Linked DNA regions of Arabidopsis thaliana. The protein of the gene in region 2 interacts with the protein of the main gene of each other region in a pairwise test. Each region holds a gene or a part of one and is shown on either strand. Other genes may lie near its edges. The genes, in order: AT3G13175, ABCG20, AT4G30500 and AT5G52420.

What was found.
Region 1: the proteins of ABCG20 (region 2) and AT3G13175 interact in a protein complementation assay, tested with the Arabidopsis thaliana proteins (one large-scale study listed by BioGRID).
Region 3: the proteins of ABCG20 (region 2) and AT4G30500 interact in a protein complementation assay, tested with the Arabidopsis thaliana proteins (one large-scale study listed by BioGRID).
Region 4: the proteins of ABCG20 (region 2) and AT5G52420 interact in a protein complementation assay, tested with the Arabidopsis thaliana proteins (one large-scale study listed by BioGRID).

Annotation. Positions count from the first base shown.
Region 1 is NC_003074.8:4,233,783-4,239,021, forward strand, and holds AT3G13175 (uncharacterized protein), read right to left. Parts: upstream 2,033-5,239; 5' UTR 1,799-2,032; coding exon 1,478-1,798; 3' UTR 1,293-1,477; downstream 1-1,292. Other genes in the region: ATSPO11-1 (Spo11/DNA topoisomerase VI, subunit A protein), read right to left, coding at 127-226, 356-410; AT3G13180 (NOL1/NOP2/sun family protein / antitermination NusB domain-containing protein), read right to left, coding at 2,544-2,675, 2,748-2,844, 2,954-3,039, 3,147-3,218, 3,301-3,419, 3,551-3,658, 3,810-3,870, 3,974-4,033 and 5 more.
Region 2 is NC_003074.8:19,835,335-19,842,725, reverse strand, and holds ABCG20 (ABC-2 type transporter family protein), read left to right. Parts: upstream 1-2,742; 5' UTR 2,743-3,204; coding exon 3,205-5,424; 3' UTR 5,425-5,578; downstream 5,579-7,391. Other genes in the region: UXS1 (UDP-glucuronic acid decarboxylase 1), read right to left, coding at 75-228, 483-1,091; RS2Z32 (RNA-binding (RRM/RBD/RNP motifs) family protein with retrovirus zinc finger-like domain-containing protein), read left to right, coding at 6,219-6,325, 6,814-6,853, 6,971-7,066, 7,163-7,356.
Region 3 is NC_003075.7:14,899,321-14,905,508, forward strand, and holds AT4G30500 (transmembrane protein (DUF788)), read left to right. Parts: upstream 1-4,030; 5' UTR 4,031-4,237; coding exon 4,238-4,321; intron 4,322-4,520; coding exon 4,521-4,714; intron 4,715-4,991; coding exon 4,992-5,076; intron 5,077-5,182; coding exon 5,183-5,248; intron 5,249-5,351; coding exon 5,352-5,444; 3' UTR 5,445-5,688; downstream 5,689-6,188. Other genes in the region: AT4G30490 (AFG1-like ATPase family protein), read right to left, coding at 53-246, 339-427, 508-598, 695-826, 916-972, 1,052-1,144, 1,227-1,292, 1,388-1,474 and 5 more; ATG18B (autophagy 18 B-like protein), read right to left, coding at 5,979-6,105.
Region 4 is NC_003076.8:21,278,848-21,284,523, forward strand, and holds AT5G52420 (uncharacterized protein), read left to right. Parts: upstream 1-2,925; 5' UTR 2,926-2,969; coding exon 2,970-3,698; 3' UTR 3,699-3,959; downstream 3,960-5,676. Other genes in the region: AT5G52410 (oxidoreductase/transition metal ion-binding protein), read left to right, coding at 1-446; AT5G52430 (hydroxyproline-rich glycoprotein family protein), read right to left, coding at 4,246-5,466.

The DNA.
Region 1 (5,239 bases), about 16 Mb from region 2:
CAATACTCGTTGACGTTGTGCTTAAATCCTTCAAAAATGTCTCGAACCAAAGACCAAACACGTCTGATTCTTCAATCAAAGAAAGTGAAAACAAAATTGAATAATCGAGATCGAAGAGAGACAAACCAATCAGCTTCTGGATTCATGCAATAGTTCCTGAATTGATTGATGGAAATTTTTGGAGATCTTCCTTCAGCCAGATCTACAACGACCGATTGAGTAAAATCTGCTCAAAAAACCGAAACATAGTGATGAACAACGGAAGAGCCAGCGAAGTCATCGACTAGAAATTTCGACATAGATTAGAGGACAAATTACTCAATACGATTCGGAAAATTTTGGGATTTTCTGATACCTTTGATCCTTTGAAGCAAATTAGTCGATTCTGAAATAGCGAATTTTCCCTCCATCTCTTTCGAGTTTCAAAACTGAAAAATGCAATGGTCGACGAATTTTTGTAGACGGGAAGAAAAGGGATGGGTGCGAAAAGCTTGCCGTTAAAACCTTCGAATTTAAACATGCGTGTCGTTTAGTTCCTACTTTCCATGACGTTGGGCCATTGGCATTTAGGCCCGATACGTAACTGACGTGTCATTTTAAAAACGCATGTGTTTTTAAACACGTTGGGCCGTTGGCTTTTAGGCCCGATCCGAAACTAGGCAAAGTGATTGTGAAAAAGATTCATGATAACAATCAAACCAATATAAATCGATTTATTCAGACTTGGAGACATTTTAGTGATGCCAATATAAAATAATCATGTGCACTAAATTTGAAATAATTAATGTGTATGGTAAACTAGATTAGAATTAGTTCTAGACTTCTAGTGGTCGAGATTTGTTCATAAGCTTTATGCTCGGACACGTGAGGAACATACCAAAATGTTCGAATCTATTATGCCATACACTTATTTTAATCATTTCTTCTCTATGATAGATTGCTCACCTAATTTATATATAATCTAAGAATATACTACTTAGCTTTAACGTATTTTATCCGATAACGAATTCATGATACCAAAAAAGTTCTAAAACAAAAGAGGCATCTTGTATTATTTATAGTATTTCTAACTAAAACACAACACTGATAACATTTAAATTGCTTTGTTCCGTTTAATTAGTAAACAAATGAAAAGCTGTCGCGTCGGTGGTTGGGTTTCATTCGGAAAGATTTAAAAGTAAAGCGCACGGATTTTAAGGTCGTTCAACATTTAAATTTTTTTTGAAAGTAAAATCATATATCAATGCAATGTGTAATCTTGTAACGTATAAACTAATGAGAGATACCTAAAGAAAAGAAGCCTCGCGCCTAAACAGAAACATAAGATTAAAATAAGTAATATAGAAGCATAAACTTAAGCAAGATTTTATTCCTCGTGAAAATATTACATTTTGTAATTTTATTTTCTCTAGTATTAAAAAAGGAACAACTAATTAACGGAAATACTTAAGGAATTAAGAACAGAGAGGTCTCATACTTAGTCAAGTTTGGTGAAGCTATCAAAGAGAATGTCTTCGTGTTGTCCGCCGACGACATAGTCAAGAATCCCTTCCGCCGCCACTTTTAAGCCTGCGCCTTCGCCTGGGATGATGGTAGACGAAACCGGGAGATCGGAGGTGCGTGCGAAGAAGAAAACGGCAGCGAGAAAGAGAGCCGTGGAGAGAAAAAGTGGCCAGAAGTAAGATAGAACGGTGAGGAAACCGGGAGAATAAGCGACGAGAGCTACGGTGAGGAGAGATAAAACAAAGGCAAACACGATTTGCAACTTGAACTTCAAAAGCTTCTCCCGGAACTCCATCTCCGATCACCGACAAAGATCTGTGAGTCTGTGACTGTTGTGTTAACACGAGAAAGATGGAGTGAAGAGAGATAGAGATATATCTAAAAGAGAGATAGTACAATGCTAACTCTCTCTCTGTCTTTCCTCTGAGTGTCTATACGTAAAGAAATAGGAAAGATTCTCTGTGACAAGGATAACGTCAAAATCTCAAGTTATTTTGTTTTTAAACGCGTTTGAAAATTATACTGTTTTTCTTCTAACGAAAATGATAATATATTTTTAAGATTTTTATGTTACTTTGTTCTGTGACTTGTATGAACATTTTTTTTTTTGTAAAGTTGTCGTAAAAGTCAAAGAATGAAACATTTTCTGACATAAATAGTAAATCGTACAAAGCTAAAATAATGATAAGAGAGATATTTTCAATTCAGTTATAATGTTGTCCGTTTTGCATGATTGAATTTTTAACTTTGGATTCAGGCCGACCAAAATATGGGCCTTTAAAAGCCCGATTTGGGTTGCTAACAGACGACTACTCTTTTGTTAGAACTTACACGAGCCGCCGTTTCTACTTTCTAGCTCTGGCAAAACGGCGAGGCATTTTCTTTAAACATATCAACATACAATTAGCAGCATCTCTACAAGTTTACACTTCTCTCATAAAACCCAACTCTACGAATAAAAGAGAAGGTGTTTTCATTTATCCTCTTCGTCTAATTGCATCCAAACTCTCAGCAGAGACAAATACAGCTTGCTTTTAACGTCACAAGGCTCGAACCAGACGAGCTGCAAATGCTCCATCTAGTGAGTGTTTCACTGGGTTTGATAAAAAGAAGCCTTGTGAGGTTACAAAACTCGACGGTACAAAACTGGTTACTGGATCTATGGTGAATTCCTGTGAAAGCAGAGAGACTATTTGTTAATATCAACATCTGAAGGAAAGCAAATGGATTATAAAGATTCTTACAGGATGTCTTAAGAGAAATGCTTCGACCCTTCCTTCATTTTCCTCGGGGTCTATGGAGCAAGTACTGTATACCAACACCCCACCGTGCTTCACCAGTCTTTGAGATTCAATCAAGAGTGTCACAGATAAAAGTATCAGATAAGTCGCATATTAGTGTTTCAGAATTAATCAAATGACTCATCAAAATGTATGTACAGAGTGCATACTTGGAGGCAGAATCAAGAAGCTCATCCTGCAGTTTAGTGAGCTCTAACATGTCCTCAAGTTTACGGTTCCAGCGCAAATCCGCTCTCTACAAAATACAGATTAATGGGAACAGGTTAATCAGATCAGGTCAATTCAACTAGCAATGTTAAATCTTGCTGGCGAAACAGTTAGATAAACTTTTCTCATGTTAACCTTGGAGAGGACGCCGAGTCCAGAACACGGGGCATCAAGCAAAACTTTGTCATATTGTACTTCATTGGTTTCCTAAAACACATTAAGTTGGAAGGAAGCATGTGAGTAGCTTACAAACTTGGAAACTTCAGATACTCAAATAATGTTAACTTACAGCAAAGACACGAAGATCAGAATGAATGGTTGTGATAAGTCCATCAACTTGGTGTGATTTTGCTGTCTCACCAAGAATTCTTAGCCGTCCTTCATTCACATCCATAGCATATATCATACCTATAATCGATTCGAGTTTGCCAGTTTGAGGATGGAATCAGTCAAGTATAGTAGAAAAGTTTCTCAAAATAGATAATTTAATTCAACATTAATGTACAATAGAGGAAAATAAGGGGTCTTTGTAATATTACCTTGGCCTTTCAAGCAAGATGCCATGAATAGGGTCTTTCCTCCAGGAGCAGCACATGCATCCATTATCCTCTCGCCTGGCTGAGGTTTCACCACTGAGACTATTAGTCCTGCAGTACCAGATGTGGGGAGATATTTAGATATCAAAAGAACAAAAGGATTTTGGATAAACTTAAATCTGTTAACAGCATGAAAAATTAATGAAGAGGAGACTGTATCTTTTCTCAGGAGCAGTCCAAATAATTACAAGACCAAACTGACCTGCACTCTCGTCCTGAACAGAACAGATGCCTTCTTTGAGTAAACCAGCTTGCACAACGGTCTGTTAAAGAAAAGGCCCATGATCAATTATGAAACTTATCAGTAAAAAAACTAGGATAAGAAAATTGCCAACAAGAGGACAATTCACGGTTACATTACAACACCTGCAAGCCTGTTTTGATGCGGACAAATTCCTCCAAATGTAAGGATAGCTCGTGTGGAACCTGCAGCATAGGAAAGCCATAATTGAAGTAAGAAACTAAGCATTATAAGAAACAATCATGTGCCTGGTTTTACACAAACACGATGATTTCAACTGAATAAAGAACGAGAAACATTAAACGAAAAAAACCTTTAAACTGTTTAGACGCTCCACAAGGTCTGCTCTTGTAATGTCCCTTCCCGTATTGGCCCTGATATTATTAGAAATAGTATTATCTGTCTGACAGCTAATAACTTATCTTTCCTTCTGTGAATACAAAATGTTATGGAGATAAACCTTAAGCTAAATCCAGGATCATTGTTATTCCATATCATTAGCTTTGTGGCTTCATCCAACCCAAGATACTTTACCCATCGTCTAACCATCCACTAGGAAGGAAAGGAAACAAAATGAGAGTTTCTTTCATCAAACAGGAATGAAGCCTTATCGCAGTTGTTCAGCAATACATAGTTGTTCAGCACTACATAGATATCCTCATAGCTAAAACCAAGTAATCTAGGAGCTTCACAAGTTCAAAGTATCGATTTCATACCACCAACTAGCTCTAGCTTCGAATTAAAACAGCATGGAAAGATGAGGCTGTAGCTATACAAACTTACAACGGGATGTGAATGAAGAGTAGCAAGTGCACGTGCCTGTGCACGATCATCCCCTTCCACTTTGGGTAATGGAAGGGCATCTTTTTCCTGCAGATCCCTACGTCAGAATTCATAGAAGCTTAAGTTTGTTTGATTAAGTACAACTAAAAAGAAAAATGGAAAAAAGTTTAAGAAAGAGAAACCTTAAGAGAGACTAGTTTACGAAGAATCCCATTGACAAAATCTCCAGCACCAGGTCTGAGGGCAACCTTTGCAAGCCTTACGTTCTGATAATGAGCAAGTAAACAATAAAGATAAAGTAATAACGAATATCAGAAAAATCTTTGACCTCACTAAGTTAGTAGGAAGAAATCATGCAGAATATGATTAAGGCTATTTGGCGCTCATTTCAATGACCAAATCTACTTTTGTAACCATTTGTAGAGTAAACTGAGAAACAAATACACATAGAAACCAGTGCTACTTATACCTCATCAACAACAGCATATGGCGGCATATCACGCTTAATGATCTCATATACACCAATGCGGAGAATCTACAAAAGAAAACAAGGTTTAAGGTTTGAGAGGAGCGATAAGTTTGACCACATTGCTTGTAGTCTGCAAAGT
Region 2 (7,391 bases):
CAGCAATTAGTGATACAACCTCTCGTTTATATATCTCACAAAATCAGGAGCAGATACAGAATTCTCCAACTCACCGATTGGATTCACGTTTCCCCAGTAAGTCTCTTTCTGTGGATGCTCAAGGGGATCTCCATAGACTTCACTTGTGCTGGTGAGCAGAAACCTTGCCCCAACTCTCTTTGCAAGACCCAACATATTGAGAGTGCCCATTACATTTGTCTTGTAAAACTATGGTTAAGGATCAACCAGAATCATCATATCAACAATAGAGAAAAACACATTCCCAATGGAAACATTTCATCACGAAATATCACAATAATTGTAAGAGATTCTACTAAGCTGCACGTCAATTGTCAAATGCCTATCAACAGGATGCTAATAACAATGATCACCAACCTAATGTTGCCTAAATTTGTATAACGGATTTAGAATCAGAACTTGCAAATCACGACCCGTAATCAAAAGGATATGATAGTCTTGACTGGATTATACTTGTAATGAACAGGTGAAGCTGGACAAGCTAAATGGTAAATCTGATCGACCTCAAGGAGGATTGGCTCAACAACATCGTGTCGAATTAGCTCAAACCTAGGATTCGAGAATAGATGAACCAAATTCTCCTTCCTACCAGTGAAGAAGTTATCAATCACGATCACTTCATCTCCCCTACCGATAAGCTTATCAACAAGATGACTACCGACGAAACCAGCTCCACCGGTGACAACAATCCTCAGTCTCTTCCGTCCGATACCGACGGGAACACGACCGGTTCTACCTCCGCCGCCTCCGGAATTAAAAGTCGACCTGGAAGGCGGGGAATCGGTGACGGCGTAGGAAACAGATCTGGTGATTAACGAGGTGGACTCAGCGGCGCCTAAACGAGAGAGAGAAGGCTGGAGGATGAAGAAAGTGGATCCGATCAAGATCCCGACGAGGATAAAGAGGAGTCGTTGTTCACGAAAGAGATAGTGAAGCGATCTGGGAAGAGATCTGGGATGCTTTAAAGTTTTGGGAGAGTAAGGACTGGATTGGCTCATGGGAATGGTTTCTTCATCACGCTTCGAGCTCATTTGCTTGTGAAGCTGCTTCATCGTTCTCCGATTAAAGCTCGTCGCCGGTGAAAATGAGATCTCAGAATTGCCGGGAAGAAGAAGAGCTTTGGATCTGGATAGATTCAAACGTAAGAGCGATGGTGAATGCAAAAGTAGTTAGTTACACGGCGATTACTTGATGCAATCCTTCGCTCTCTTTTTTATTTTTATTTTGTTTTAGTTATAGAGCAAATATATATGTTTCGCTTCTAAAATCTATATGTGATTATCAGATAATCTAATTAAGTAATTTCACTAATTGTTTAATAATATATGCAATTTTTTATATATATATTCTTGAGGGGATCATTAATGTGATTTGCGTTTGATTTGTATATTATTCAATGAACATATACAAAACTTTAGGCAAATGTGGAAACAAACAAAAAAAACTCCTCGAGGCTTACAAAATATGGGCTTTTAACAATTGGATGCCCAAGTTTGGCCCCTTAATAGCCCACAAAATGTTATGCCTAGAGATATGCTCTTATGCTATTTTTTTTTTTTTTGAATGAAAACTCTCTCATGCTGTTACTCAACAGACGAGAGTAAAAATTTCTCGTACGATTTAACAAATATTAGCATTGAACGAAATCTCAAACCTGAGGGATTCAATTCCTTGATCTAGTCCTACCTGATAAATCTCAAAGTGTTAACAAAATTATGTTGGGAAACTTAGCAAAATATCCTCTACCAAACACAAAATTTCAAAACAATCTTTACATAAAGAAAGTCTTACTAAACTTAACCAGAATAATATAAACTCATTCTCTGTGTGAAAGTGTACATTCCATAAGAAATGTTATGTATTTCATTGGATAAATCATTAGTTCAACTTGATAGAGACAAGCTGATGATACTAAGTATATAGTTTTCTATTATTTCTTGACAACTCTTGTAAAAATGGGTTATCAAAAGTAAAATAATCAAGAAAACAGATATAACAGCTACACCAAACTTCCATATGCCTAAATCTAACTCATCACGTTATATAAAGTTTCCATTACATATTCCTAATGACAATTTTTGTTGTGTTTTCGTGTGTAGCTCTACAACATCAAAGCCGAACATCTGCACGTTTTTCTGCCATAATTTTCACATTCATTTCCTTTTTGTTTCACCAACTACAAAAGTACAAATCAATGATCCTTATAATTTTTTTTTTTTTTTTTTGAAATGAAATAGGCTTCACTTACGCTTTTTTATATGACGAAAATGGTGTGCATGATTAAACAAACAATTGAAAGATAACACGCCATTAGCTTCATTATGCATAATGGCATGCCTTTGTACAATCTTAGTATAGTACCATGCCAAATCCTAATTATGAGAATATCTTATGTGTTTGATATTAACTAATTGCAAAAGTTAATTAGTAACCGCTAAATAAATGTTCAAAATGTTGGATGATTTGATTTTGATACAACAAACAGTATATTCGTAGCGTGCTTTAGTTACTGTACGAAGATATTCACTGATTCAAAATAGTTGGAAATCCAATTAACCCCTAGTCAATTATTGTCTCACGCACCAAAAAACAAGTCTTAGAGCTTGTAAGTGATTATAGAAAACTCGCGGGTCGTGACTATAATAAACAAAAGGAGATTAAGAAATTCGTGACATACATACATGTGCAAGGAGAAATTCTATTCCTGACATGTTACATAAGCTATACTTATTGCAATTCCATAAACTCCGGATACATTATATACAGATGAAATAAACACGTAATTCCATGGAGTAAACTTTTCCACTTTGTAAACAAAAACCACCTAAAATAGGATTTTTTTACAGAGTACCTTAAGCCCCAAGAAAAAATACATACAATAACGGAAAAATGTGGATGGATTTGCCCAACTCCTCACCTACTCGTAACTTACAATTTATATACATACGAAAATATAAACAAAAGCTATGTACATGTAAATATGAAAAGCTACAAAACCCAGAACAACTCAAAGTTAGATACTTAGAGATCACCAAACTAATTGACAAGTTTCTCCCTCATTCTCCCATCCAAATATCCTATAAAGTCGATCAAAATTGTTCTGTGGGTAAGACCTTTAGACACATTACCTGAGGCCAAAACATTAACCAGACAATAATTCACGTGATGTCTGGTTTGTTCGGTATATTATCTCCGGCCAAACGGGTCAATGGCGATGGCCTCCCTCTGTTTTACAATATCCACAAGTCAGTGGAGCTTCAGAGATGTCACAGAGACACTGCGCGGGTGTCTGTCACACTTGCAGAACTTCTCATGAGTGTGGAAGATGAGGGGGATGACCAGAGTCGGGCTATGGATATTGCGGTTGCGTCCAATTTCTGGTCCTCGGTTCCGTCTTCTCGTGTGCCTTCTTCTTCTCCGTTTGTTCTTTCCTTCAAAGACTTGACTTACAGCGTGAAGATCAAGAAGAAGTTTAAGCCCTTTCCTTGTTGTGGGAATTCACCTTTTGATGGTAATGATATGGAGATGAATACTAAGGTGCTCCTGAATGGTATTTCTGGTGAAGCCCGGGAAGGAGAGATGATGGCTGTTCTTGGAGCGAGCGGGTCAGGGAAATCAACGCTTATCGATGCATTAGCCAATCGGATTTCAAAAGAGAGCCTACGCGGTGATATTACTTTAAATGGGGAAGTTCTTGAATCTAGCCTGCATAAAGTCATATCAGCTTATGTGATGCAAGATGATCTTCTCTTCCCGATGCTCACCGTGGAAGAGACGTTGATGTTTTCTGCTGAGTTCAGGCTTCCAAGCTCGCTTTCTAAGAAGAAAAAGAAGGCACGGGTTCAAGCTCTGATTGATCAGCTCGGCCTGAGGAACGCAGCAAAAACCGTGATCGGTGATGAGGGACACAGAGGTGTGTCTGGAGGAGAAAGGAGAAGGGTCTCAATTGGAACCGATATAATCCATGACCCGATTATTCTCTTTCTCGATGAGCCAACTTCTGGTCTTGACTCTACCAGTGCATACATGGTTGTCAAAGTGCTTCAGAGAATCGCACAAAGCGGCAGCATAGTTATCATGTCCATCCATCAGCCGAGTTACAGAATCTTGGGATTACTCGATAAGTTAATCTTCCTATCTAGGGGAAACACCGTTTACAGCGGCTCCCCGACACACCTCCCTCAGTTCTTCTCAGAATTCGGTCACCCAATTCCTGAAAACGAGAACAAGCCGGAGTTTGCACTCGATCTTATCCGTGAGCTGGAAGATTCGCCAGAAGGAACGAAATCCTTAGTCGAGTTCCACAAGCAATGGCGAGCAAAGCAAACCTCAAGCCAGAGCAGAAGAAACACCAATGTATCTCTCAAAGATGCAATCAGCGCAAGTATCTCGAGAGGTAAGCTTGTCTCCGGAGCAACAAACCTAAGATCATCATTTCAAACCTTTGCAAACCCATTCTGGACTGAAATGCTCGTAATTGGTAAACGATCTATACTAAACTCAAGAAGACAACCAGAGCTATTCGGAATCCGCCTAGGAGCTGTACTAGTCACCGGAATGATCCTAGCCACAATATTCTGGAAACTAGACAATTCACCAAGAGGTATACAAGAACGCTTAGGGTTCTTCGCATTCGCAATGTCCACAACATTCTACACATGTGCAGAAGCAATACCAGTCTTTCTACAGGAACGTTACATATTCATGAGAGAAACAGCTTACAACGCTTACCGGCGATCATCATACGTCCTCGCTCACACAATAATCTCCATCCCTGCTCTCATAATCTTATCCGCCGCATTCGCCGCCTCAACATTCTCGGCCGTAGGACTCGCCGGAGGCTCCGAGGGATTCCTCTTCTTCTTCTTCACAATCCTCACCGCGTTTTGGGCCGGAAGTTCCTTCGTGACGTTCTTATCCGGCGTAGTCTCACACGTGATGATCGGATTCACGGTGGTTGTAGCAATCCTCGCTTATTTCCTCCTCTTCTCCGGATTCTTCATCTCTAGAGATCGAATCCCACTCTACTGGATCTGGTTCCATTACCTCTCCCTAGTGAAATACCCTTACGAAGGTGTTCTACAGAACGAATTCGAAGATCCGACGAAATGCTTCGTCAGAGGGATCCAGATGTTCGACAATTCGCCGCTGGGACAAGTTCCAACCGCCGTGAAAATCAGCCTCCTGAAGAGCATGAGCGGCGTTTTGGGGATCAACGTGACGGCGGAGACTTGCGTAACGACGGGAATCGATATACTGAAACAGCAAGGAATCACGGAGATAAGCAAATGGAATTGCTTGTGGATCACTGTAGCTTGGGGATTCTTCTTTAGGGTTCTCTTCTACTTCACACTCTTGATCGGAAGCAAGAACAAGCGTCGCTGATTTACAAAACAGAAAATTATTAGAGTAACTTGACCAATGATTATGATGTACTTAATACTTATGATTAATACGAAATTGCATATGTTTGCTAAATCTTTAATGGGCTTTAGAGTTGATATAAGGCCCAATAAAAGTACTAAATTGGAAAGTGTGCAATTTTCTATTTTCTATATCGGTAATATCGACGTTTATCTCGCCGTGAAATCTAAACCGTTGATTGAAACAAATCGCTACCGTTGAATCTCGTCGGTTTCCAAGTTATAAGATAGGGGTTGAAGACTAATCGCAGTATCATCCGCGGTTCACTTCCTTCGTTTCGAAATTATTAGGGTTACTGCGTATTTGCACTCTCCTTCTTCGTCTCTCCAGGTACGAGGAAGAATCTTTGTAATTGGATCTGTTTAGGGTTACGATTTTATTGTTCTTCGCTCTCTAGATTAGGGATTTCAATTGGTTTCTCGTTTCCTCGCCGTAGATTTCCTTTATAGGTTTCCTTCTGTCTAATCTGATTAGAGATTTATATTCTCCCCTCACGAAATTTTCTTCTTTTCGCCTCTGAATGTGTTATTCAGTTTGGTTTCTTTGTTTTTGGATTTGTGTTCTGCTGAAAAATCATAGATATTCACATGGGTTCTATGTTTAGGTCTGAGGTAGTGTTTTAACTCTCTGGTCTTTTTCTTGTTTATATAATTTGAAGAGGATACTGTTATTCTTTTTCTTGTGATTGGCATATATATATATATATATACATATGTGCCTAATAGCTTATGTTAAAAATATTTTGCAGCTTGACAATGCCTCGCTATGATGATCGCTATGGAAACACTCGCCTCTATGTTGGTCGCTTATCATCTAGAACTCGTACCAGAGACCTTGAGCGTCTCTTTAGCAGATACGGAAGGTAAAGAGTCATATTCCTTTGTCTTGACTGACCTAATTTGACTTTTGTATTCTTGGGGAGATAAGTGTTTGGATTTTTTGTTAATTGTTCTTTGGTGTGAATCTGGAATGATTCCTCTTTGATGTTGTGCAGGGGATATATACCTAAAGTTTAACATTAGAATCAAAGAGGGTAGTTTTTACTTATAACGTTGCATTGGTACATGTGGGAAAATTGTGGAGCTAGGTTTAGTGGATTTTTTTTTCTTTAACTTGAATGATCTTGTTGAAGGTTTCTGGGGGTTTGCCTAACCTGGAGATGTTTGATGAATGGGTGGACTGTGGTGTAATTGGTGGAAATTCTCGTCTGGTGTATAGAGGGTGCATCGGCGATTTTGTTTGTTGATTTATTGCATGTTTTTATTGGAAATGGCCTCAAATCTCAAAAACTGGTGTTTGGAAGTTCCTTAAGTAATGATGGCCTTGATTTTCTGGCAACAATTTACGCAGAGTACGAGATGTGGATATGAAGCGTGATTATGCCTTTGTTGTAAGTCTTATATTACCCTTTTCCTTTATTCAAGCGTTTGATTCTCAAGTTTGTCATGCGCACAAACTTTATATATATGTTATGCATCTATCATTGTCCCTCACATTTTGAGAACAGGAATTTAGTGATCCTCGTGATGCTGATGACGCAAGATATTACTTGGATGGACGGGATTTCGATGGAAGTCGCATCACTGTGGAGGCATCAAGAGGGGTTAGTTATTTGTGTCTGTATTACCGATTCTCCATTGGCTTGATAATTTGGATGAAAAATTACTGATATCTTGCCAAACTTTTGAATTTATGATAGGCTCCTCGTGGTTCGCGGGACAATGGTAGCAGAGGCCCACCTCCTGGTTCTGGTCGCTGTTTTAATTGTGGTGTCGATGGCCACTGGGCCCGAGACTGCACAGCAGGAGACTGGAAGAATAAATGTTACCGCTGTGGTGAAAGAGGACACATTGAGAGAAACTGCAAAAACAGTCCTAGTCCAAAGAAGGCCAGGTACTAAATCTTTGAATCTTTGTTTTTCCACAGTT
Region 3 (6,188 bases), on a different chromosome or scaffold from region 2:
AATGAAACTAATAGATTTTAGTTGTTAATCACAGAGTCTGTTATTACATTACCTACTGATGGTTCTGTCTTTTGCGAAACCTAATTCGTTATCCACGCAGAGCTCAGTAACATCGTTCTTTCTTGATCTTGATGATGTTCTTGGACCCATCGATTTCGCCTCTGAGATTGTTATAATCTTTTCCAAAAGTTCTTGAGGATTTGCTTCAGCTGTACACAACAACCTCGCTCTGTTCTCATACATTACCTGCAATTCTTAAACCATCATTATCAGATTTTGATGAAATGGTTTGGTAGTGCCATCTTATAAGAACAAAACAAGAACCAGGAATTGCATACATCGACTAGCGTGACGAATCTATATGCAGCAGTACGGTTATGAAGCCCAAACACTGGAATTTCGTCCAAGGCAAGAGTATGAAACTTCTCTGCAACATCAAGAAGAAGAAGAAGCACTGTTTAGAGACAAGATTTGCAGATGAGAGAGAGACAAAGTAAAGTATCTTACTGAACAAACCGAAGTAATCCGCAGCTCCAAGAGGTCGGTCACATAGCTCTTCAAAAGGAAAGTATGCACATCCATTGGCACCTAATGGAATCTGTTCATGAAGCAGCATTTGGTCTGATGAAGAACTTATATACAGACAACACAAGTGTTGTTGGAGTTACACAGAGATTGGTATAATAAACTGTACCTGTAATTTTCTTCCCATCACCACTTCTACTACCTGTGGACGGGCAACAACATTGTCTCCAATCAATTGTCGGAACTTCTGTTTCAAAAGGGTCGAAAGATCTTTACCAATGAAGTAGAATCCTTGCTCAGCCTGCAAAAATGAAGAAGTGTCCCAGTTATTGAACTCAGCTCTACCTTGAAGCCAGTCTAGGGAGTTTTTAATGGGATTAAGAGCAATACCGAAGTTAGTTTCCGGTAATCAACCGCTGAACCGATCTCATGAACCACACTTCGTTCCTGCGAAAATGGAAATCTTGATGCAGTCTTTGAATTAAAAAGGTACTGAAAGTGGACTAATGATAGTAGATTAGACTACCTTCAATGAAGAAATGAAAGGTAGGAACAGATCTCTTTGGAGTCCTCCTTCATAGAGTTTATCAGGATTCCGATTCGATGTAGCAACAAGAATCTATATTTTATATAGCAAGCATGGACAAAAGTCAGTTTTAAGATGATTGTAGCAGCATAATGTAAGTAAAGATGACACTTACAACACCATTGCTAAACAGATGTCCAAAGAGTCGGTTTAGTATTAGAGCATCTGCAACATCAGTTACCTATAATAACAGAAACAGTAGCCGAAAAAATCAAGATGTGTTGATCCAAAGATGATCACTTTCAAGAAAATAAATATATGAAATAGTGTACATACCATGAACTCATCTAGACATAGTAAGATTGCATCATGAGCTATCTCTTGGGCAACAACTTCAAGTGGATCTGATAAACCCTTGTGCTTCTGCAAACATTATGAACCGAAATCAAACAACGTATCTCAAAAGGCTAAAGCTTTTCCTACTAAAATCAATAGAGAAACAATGGAAACTCAATTATCCATACTTGCAAGCGGCTATGAACACTCAACATGAAATCATGGAAATGTATCCTCTGCTTCTTCCAAGTACAAGGCCTAATGAAACAAGAGAATTGTCATGAAACCGCAATGCTCGAAAAAAAAGGATAAGAATTTGATCATACAAACTTACAGTTGATCAAAGAATAAGTCCATCAACATGGTTTTTCCTGTACCTACACCTCCATAAAGGTATAATCCTTTGACGGGTGAGTAAGAAGTCTGTGGCATGAGCCGAGACCAAAACCAACGACTTCTGTATTACACAAAAACACAGTTGTGTGAGACTCAAGTTCTCAATCCTAAACAGAGAAGGAAAGGTGTCAAGGCTAAGAGAACAGAACAATCACCTTGAGGATTTATCAGAAGTATTATACCGATCTAAACGACATGTATCTACTGAATCCACAAGCTCATCATATAGTCTCTGAAGCTCTCTCAATGCACTAATCTACAACATTTCAAACACAACCTTAAGCCGCAAGTAACACGAATCACATTTAATCTTATAGCTCAAAAGCTTCAATGAAGTAAAAAAGAGTGGCTATTATTTTTATCATACTTGGCAGATATCACCAGTCATGAGTTCACCATTACTGATTCTTCTCTCATACTCAACAAGAGGACCTGTTCTATTCACATCTGTCATCATTCAACAAATATCAGCAAACCAATAAACACGAACTCTGAGATTGATAGAATTTCTTTGCAAAGAGAAACAAAACCTGAGACGGTGACCCTAGTAGTAGCAGGATCAGCTGCTTCTACTGCTTCTGCTGATAAGCCTCTAAAGATACTTGACCTTGAATACAAACTTGAATTATCAGTGTTTGTATTCAGCAGAGCTTGATTTTGATTGACACCGATCAAAAGTTTGCGGCTTTTGGAGTAGAAAGTTGAAGAATAACGTTCTTGATTGTTCCTTAGAGCCCATCTAATTCTACTGAGAGATGATAACCTAATGATTGGTCTCATCTACGATCAATGCAAATTCAATTCAGCAGCTGAAACTTTGAGATACGGAAACAGAGCAAGAACAATAACCCAAGAAGAAAAACAGAATCTTTGTATGAGAGAAATCGGATCCGGATAAGAATTAGAGCACAAGAGGAAAAAGTGAATGAGAATATTGAAAAGTTAAGTTTGATGTTTATATGTAATGACGATGATAAATCTGGATAAGAGAGATAGAGAGAGACCCAAGAATAAACGGAGATGTAGTCAAATAAGGAAGATAGAGAAGAAGATCTTTAACTGTTAAACTCTTAAAACAGAGAGATAGAGGCGTGATTAATGAGTTATTTATCAACTAAGACACGTTTTTTATTTTTTTATTTTTATATACTTTCAATTTTTTAACCAAAATTGATTGTGTTGTACTTCTAATTACATTTGTTAATGTTGATTGCATAGTTGTTTTCCAGGTCATTAGAGGATTGTATTTGTCCCTTATTTAAGAGAGTTGACTATTTTTATTCCTATGAAAAAAGTAATTTCTTGATATATCTTTACCCTAATGATGTCTACAAGTCAAATTACAAATTTTATAAACAATTTTTAACATTTGTAATTATAGTATAGAATATTGGAAACGGAAGCTTCTCGATGTTGCGTTTGCGTACAGGATACTGGTGGACCTAGCGAATGTGTCCCATACATAGGCTAAGCATATTCCAAGTGGGAGAGAGATACGTGAATCAGACATGGTCCTTAAAGATGATCCAACGGTCTATAATTTTTCTAGTTTTGTTCTCAATGGGTAAGTTGAACAATGGACCTTAATGATGACATGTTGCATTGCGTATGATTCCACGTGTCCACGTCATTTCTTACACTGCAAACATGTCTTTTTCTGACCAACCCCTAACGCTACTTTTCTTTGATACATCTTTGTTTTTGCTATAATGGTGCTTGTTGACAAAATAATACTATGTTGAATTGACCTAAAACCATACTCAGATTGGGATATCCGAGAACCATTGTGTAAGACGTGATGTTTGATCCAAATATGGGCTACACTCAAATATTGGATATAGGCCCACAAGATATGATATCTTCATTTTTTTTTGTCTATAGAACAACATAAAACAGGGAAAAAAATTTACACTACTTTTGTTCTTGTTCCGTTATAAATATCGTTTTACCGATTGATCATAGAAATGGTATACTTTTTAGTTTTTGGAACAGCGGTAAAAGGTTTTATGTTGATGTCTTCTCCGAGCGCCGGTGATTTTCACACAGACCTTGTTATTGGAAAACTGAAATAATGCAGTTTTCTGTTGATAGGCCTTAAGATGTCAGATTTTATGGGCCTTTTAGGTTGTTCTGGCCCATTTAGATAGAACTGTTTCAGTTTTCCAACAACAACTGATAAGGATAGACGAAAGCCCAAATTAAGAATCTTTGTCCTAAACCCAAGGAAAAGCGTAATTACGACACGCAGCCAAACAAAACATTTCCTGCGTGAAAAAAGTATTTGAGAAAAGAGGACGACAAAAAGGTACAGGTGTCAATATATAATTGGATTAAACAAGCTTAGACACCTAAAAGTTTTCTCTCACACCATTTGTGAAGATCCAAAGCAAAAGAAGAATTACAGAAACTGAAAAAACTATCTTCCTCGTCTCTTTGATCATTCTCTTTTAACTCATGGCGAATCAAGGAGCAAAGAAGAGGAAAGATGAGAACGCTCGACACATGGCTAAGCTCCGTCTCATTATGATCCTTTGCAACGTAACTTCCTCGTTCCTCATTTCTTAAATTCTCAATACATTAATCCGTTGAGCTTAGATTTGTTTAGATACGTTACTTGTATCAATATGGAACTAAAAATCCGTTGAATTTGATCTTTAGGTCTCGAAAGTTTCAATGTTTAGCTGATTTTGTTTCGATGAATTCGAGGATTGATGTTTTTGGCAATATGTGTTTGCAGATTTTGTATGTCCTAGTGAGGGTTATAATTTCGCATTCAAGTCATACCTGGAAAAATTGGATTGGTCTTGTGTTAACATCGTTAGGTTACGGGATTCCATATAAGCTTCTTCATCAAATGGCAAAGCCTAGTGTTAGTGATGCTGGTGAACTTCTTGATGGTGGATTTGACATGAGCACTCCTGGAATGTGTGGGTACGTTCGGAAAGATTTGTCTTTTAAATTGATCAACTAGAAAGTGCCTGCTTTTGTCTCAAGTGTTTCTGTATAGTTGGATTCTGTTTCCATAACCAAAAGCAATAGTAGGAGGACTGTTTCATTATCAGTTGTTTGAAATGAGTGATGTTTTACTAGTTGTGGCTTTCTCCGAGTTTTATCGTTTATCAGTTGCTACATAATCGTCATCTTTATGGTGGATTGGATTTATGGTAGATTCTATAGTATAAGCCTGATGCTCTATTCTTCCTTGCAGATATTTGCATGATGTACTCTACATCACCTGCTTTGTGCAGGTCGGATCTATCATCTCTGGAAAGTTTTGGTACGCGTATTTAGTGGTATGATACCCATCTCAATTTTCTTTATTGCCATATTTTAAGGCAAACAACAGATTTGCTCTGTAGGAATGATGCAACCATTTACTTTTGCTTGTTTTTATTTTAGATCCCTGCATTTGGAGCATACAAAGCTTCTGGTCTTATTAAGGGACTATTGTCACATGGTTCAGAGGTAATCACTTTGTCTTGAATACTCTCAAAGTGCTTTGAACAAGGGGGAAATAAAACATGATCATTTAAAATGGACTGTGTTTTGTCTATATGACTGAACTTAGGGAGGTGTTGAGGATGAGAAGACTCGCAAAAAGAGGGAGAAGATGGAGAGAAAAGCTTCTAGAGGACAAGTCGTTAAGACAAGATCTCGATGAATGTCTTAAACATTCATCTTTAGCAAACACAATTAGCAAATCTTTCTTCAAACATACAAAATGCAAATCAATGGGTAAATACTCTTGACTTTGTAATGTACCTGTCTTTACACTATTTTGACTTAATGGATGTGTTAAGATGAAGTAGACTAATAGTCTTGAGTAGGATACAGTGAATTCTCATAAGATAAAAGACTTTTGCTCTTTGGATTATGATGATGTTATGACTTGTGAGCCATTAGACCGACAAATGATCCTGACTTGAAAATTCTGATTCATAGCTAAAGAGCCTTGACTGTAACTATGGAGTAAGTGGGATATGATGGAAAGAGTTGGGAAACCATTTTGTATTTCATTTCTTCAACACAAATCAAGATTAAGATACAGTAATAGCACGGAAGAGCTAATTATATTTGCGAATAACCAAAGAACATGAGACTATAAACATATTCTTAATGAACCCAAGGTACAAAAATTGTTACATACAAAAAAGTTGCCCAGTACTTTCATATATTTGATATTTGGTTGTATACATCACCCGGTGGTTATGGAGAAGAGATTGAATTCACGTTCCAGTGTCCATAGAGACTCATTCTTGTTATTGATACTTAGCGTATACTCCTGGAAATATCCGTTATAAGTGATCACCGATACCGTTGCTCTGAAAAGAACGTGAAAGGTAAAAGATTATCAAAACTTGTCATGTAACCATGGTTTCAAAATGAAGATATCCTAAAATCTTAC
Region 4 (5,676 bases), on a different chromosome or scaffold from region 2:
AAGAAGCTAGAGGACGTTGGGAGAAGTATGGCCTAAAAGTGATTGTTGACAGCGACCTCCATGAACAGACAACAAAAACCGAATCTACTTGGCTGAACGCAGGAAAGCAAAATCATGTAGAAGGAACCATGAAAAGAGCTGGAAATCTGATTGCTAAGCTGAAGAAGATGGCGAAAGATGTAGGAGAGAAATCCAGAGAAGTAATTTACTTGATCATAGAGAAGATAAGCCTTCTGATATCAGCCTTAAAACAACAAGTTCATGGCATGGAGAACAAAGCCAAAGACCTCAAAATCAAAACTAAGTCTAAAGCAGAGGAAGTGTGGAGACAAACGAGCTTGAGGGCTGATGAGATCAGAAATATCTCTATAGTGAAGGCTAAGGAGACTGTGGAAGAGTTTAAGGACAGAGTCGGTAAACTCGGCGAGAAATTCAAGTCGAAGTAGGTTTATGCGGTTTGGTTGAAGATTAAGATTTGTTAGATAAAGATGCAAAACAATGAACTGTCTTAAATTCCAAAACCGGAAAGCTATGAGCCCCAACTTAGATAGATGACTACACTGATTATATGATTGTGGTCTTCGCCAGTTTTTACTACTACCACCATTTAGTCTTTGAATCCATTCTACAAGCAATTGAAGAATAAATATGGTATTGGATCAACTTCAAATTTTGAAACATGATAGGAAATTAAGTTGAGTCTCACTAATTTTTCTTAATATCTGACCATATATTTAAAATTAGTTACCAAAACCTTGGCAGTAAATTTTTAGTTAGATATGATAAAAGATACTATTGTTTTGATTAAAAAAAGGTAGAGATGATGAGATTTCTATGTTGAATTCAAAACAATAAAATAAATATTAGCTAAGATATCACGAAGTGATAAAGATGAATCTTTGATTAAATCACATTAAAAGTTGAAAAACGATATCATAAGAGATTTTGTGTTCTCTATATGTAACGCTATCTGGCAACATTCTTTCTGCTTTCCAATAAGGTTCATGAAGAATGGGTAACACAATTTCGAATGCAACAACGTTATCATACGGTGAAACGACATGCTCAAATCCAACTTCTACGATTGCGAGCAGTTTCACGGAACATCCTCGCCTTCTTGCTATTCTGTCAAGATTGAGAATCTCGCACAACTTAACAATGAAAAATACCAATCTCGTCGTTTCACGGTAGGCGGGTATTACTGGTATGTAGCTATAATCTTGCTCTTATATATTACCATTTATGTTTTATGAGACATGTAACACATATAGACCATGATTTTACTATGTACACATTAGCTCCTGAAGGGTTAAATTAAATCTTCATCATAAGAAAAGAACATGAATCTTTCTTACTTTATGCAATAATATTTCTGTTAAAAAGAAAACCTGCAGGAAATTGATTATATATCCAAAAGGGAACGACGAGGACCATGGAAGTGGTTATATTTCAATGTACGTAGAAATAGACAGCACATCTGAAGTTTTTGCATATGTCAAGTTCTTCGTCTACAATAAGAAAGAACAAATGTACTTTACTATTCAAAGTTGTTGGTTTAAAACATATCTATATTATTCAATATTTATATTAACTATATAAGACTTGTTCATTTGTCACATATGTCACGTTGAATTACTCCATTTTTTCTAATAGATACTGAAGTAAAGCGTTTCAATGCTTTAAGAATGGTATGGGGATTCTCTCAAATGCTTCCTCTCCACTTATTCGAAAATCCAAAAAATGGATATATATTCGACGGGCAAAAATGCGAGTTTGGTGTTGAAGTGATGGTTGTTCCACCCCTTACCAATTGGGAAGTGATGTCTTTTGATCAGAAACTCTCACCATCCACATTCTCCTGGAGTGCCAATGGTTTCTCCTTATTGACAGAGAATCTTTATGTGTCAAACAACTTTTCAGTTGGAGGAAGAGAATGGTGAGGCTAATAAGTCATTGAATATATATACACGTCTATGTATGCTAAGTGTATACAAAATAATGTGACTTTTCTATAGGTGTTTGAAGATGTATCCAAAGGGAAGAGAGGCAGATGGCAAATGGTTGTCCTTATTTCTGCATATATATAGCTGATAGTGAAACCTTTTCGGAGGATGAGAAGATTTACGTGCATGCAGATCTCCGAGTATTATACCCACGTCCACATGTATACAACAATCACGTCACACAGAAACGTATAATTAACTTTGAAACACAATTTTCTATATTCTTGAATAAATCACTTAGTTGCTTTTTTCAAGTCTTAACTAAATTTTCAATACCTTACATATATTTATTTTTCTTGCAGTTAACGTCTGTTACAAGAAATCAACTCAAGGGTGGGGTTGCGAAGATTTTGCGGCTATAGCCATCGGGAGTGTAATTACTTGGACAATGACACTTTGACATTGGAGGTCGAATTTAAAGTTGTTTCTACAACCAAGTATTCTCACCCATGATCTAAGCTCTTCTTGTAGAATATCTACAATATTCCATATTCTACTACAAGTCTAGTAATCTACAATGCCTTGTTTCATACGATTTCTAGTAATTAGTTCCTTTTTAGTTAAATCAATTCTACAGTTTATGGTTCCGGATTCATTTCCTGCTAACTAATTATATCATTTTTTATAACTAGTAATCATTGAAGCTTATAATTGAAATCTATAACTACAAAGCCTAGTGCACTTACGTCCAGAAAGCCAAAATAATTAGGCTTCCTATTAACACATATATTTATATGTTTCTTAAGAACTTTTACGAAATTACCTGCATGTAGTTAAAATAATAAAATCTAAACTAATTGTGAGCACAACAATAATCCGCCACGTCTTCTAAACCTCTTCCATTCAAAACTCTTCACTATCCGCCACGTGTCCCCTTCTTCACACTCTTTTTATCTTCCTCCACCTCTAAAACTTTCTCACCACATTTTCCCGAGAAAACAAAAAAAAAAAACTTACACCAAAACGATGTCTGGAGGTGTCGGTCCAACGTACAACGACATAACCTTACCCAAAGAAGAAGAAGAAGAACATCAAACCCAATCCACCTCAACAGTATCATCCACCGGAAAACCCGCCGGATTCTTCTCATTCCGACAACTAAACATCCTCGCAATAATCATCGTTCTCTCCGCAAGTGGTCTCGTAACAATCCAAGATTTCATATTCACGATCCTCACTCTCATCTACTTCTTCTTCCTCTCGAAACTTATCTTCCCACCACACAACAATCCAAACCGTGACGCTCCTCTCACAAGCTCCACAAACAAAATCTTCCGTATCTATGTTACAGCGGCGGGGATCGTCGGGCTTATCATTCCGATCTGTTACATCTTCGAAGGAATCGTTGAGGATGATAAGAACGGTGTTAGCGCAGCTGCACCGCACGTGTTTCTTTTAGCGAGTCAGATTTTTATGGAAGGATTAGCGACCATGTTTGGCTTCTCTGCTCCGGCGAGGATTCTTGTTCCGATTGTTTACAACGCCAGGAGGGTTTTGACTCTTGTGGAGTGGATTATGAGTGAGTTCTCGAGGGAGGATGTGACGGGGACGGTTTCTGCGCGGCGGATGTATGCCGGGAAAGTTTTGGCGGCGGCTAATTTAGGGATTTGGTCGTTTAATCTCTTTGGTGTTTTGATTCCGGTTTATCTACCCAGAGCGTTTAAGAGGTATTACGGTTCTGATAAGGAGGATTGAAATCCCGGTTTAGTTCCGGTTCCAATAAGGAGAGTCAAAACCCGGTTTAATTCCTTTGTGGTTCACAGCTCTTGTTGTTTTCCCTTTTTGTTCTGTATATTATTTCGATGTTTTCTTTTGAACAATTCAGTTTATGTAGTAGTTCACAGTTGTATTAGATTTCTTACGATAATAACCGAATCTATGTTTCTGAAAGAACAGAAATGAAAATGTTTTAGTAATGATATAGAATAAGACCATTCACGATCTCAGTTCAAACAATATATTTGTATGAAACAGTAAAACAAGAAATAAACAATTTATATCAATGTAACAAGATTAGATGTAGGAGCTGATCCAAGAATATTCCAAAGTTTCCAACTACATGAGTACAGAAGTTAACTGCAAATCAAAGCTTTAAGCTTATTTATTCAGTGTGTATAAGTTGTTAGAACCCAAATCTCTTACCTTTTTTCACGATCCATGTTCAAGGTTTGTTACTTATAGGGTTTTATATCTCTGTCTTTGGTAATGAGGAAGAAGAAGAAGAGATGTCATTTTAATTTGGTTAGCTGACTCCAGATCGTAACCCCGGGAAGAAACTCCAGCTGTTTCCTGCAACCTTCTCGATATTCTCGTCTTTCGTGTTGTCGAATTTAAATTCTTTGCTAGATCCAATCGATGAGGAACTCAGCTTCTGAATTCTATGCTGTTCGTTCTCTCTGTCTCCTGACCTTTTCTCTATGTTTCTTCTTATGTCTGTTGATGAACTCTCCTCTGTTTCGATCCGGTCATTGTTGTTCATTCTGTCGTGTGATCGATTTAGCTTGCTTGCAAGACAACGTGCAACGTCTTCACCTGTTAACTCAAACGAAACTCTGTGATCTGCTACCATGACTTCAGAGCCATGATCCGAATTTGCCAGTGAAGCGACCTCAGAGATCTGATTTTGAAGAGGCCATGTGGTATTGTTGGGTGTTAAGTTTCCAGATACTATCTCTGGACCATTTGGTGTCAGAGCGCCTGAAGCCAAACCTGAACCATGCCCAACAGGTGTGATCGATCCAGAACCGAACCTCGATCCCCATTTACGAGCTGTAAAGTGCTCAAAACCCAAGAACTTTGGAGGCTCGCCTATTCGAAACTCAACCATGGGTGATTTACCAGGGTAAGGAGAAGATGTACCAGAGTTTGAAATCACTGACCCGGGAGAGATTAGATTACCACCACCAGGACTCCCCGGACACACCTGATTAGACCGAAACTCATAGTGCGAAGACGAAAACTTTTGATTCATCCCACTAGTACTATCCCTCCGAGTTAGCTCCAACGAAGAAGTAAGCAACTGAGCAAAGGGCACTTCAGGTGAAGAAGGTGTAGTTATATGGACTGATGATTCAGGAGGTGGAGTATACGGTGCAGTAGATGGCTCAGTTATAAACGCAGAGAACACCGGAGGAGTGACTGGTTGAGTTTCATTAGCATAAGGTCCAACGGTAAAGACAGATTGAGGCTCCTTAGGCGAGAATGTATTGCTAGTAAGAGAAAGTGGACCAACAGGCGAGTGAGAAACCGATGAAGGATCCGATTGCAAAAACGAAGCTGGAGATGAAGGAGGAGCTATAAAGGGAAGAACAACAGTAGTTGAAGTAGCTGAGTTTTGAACAGTAACTACCGGAACTCCAGATGTAACCGGTTCAGGTACAAGCACAGCATTACCAATCCTTTTATTGTTCTTCTGAGTTCCAAAACATGAATATAAACTCCAACATTTTCCCCATCTTCCCTTCTGTACAAATTAAACACACAAAATTAGACTCATCTTGATCCCCTTTAGAGAGAACTGTTTCAACAAAACTTTCTCAAAGTAAAAGCTTTTGATAATAAAGTTAATCTTGTTTAGTTTCTAATAAGTAGCTAAACGTTTGTAATTCACTTTTGGAGAAATTTATACTATCCGTGGAAAATTAACCAAACATGAAATAGAAACGCTTTTAAC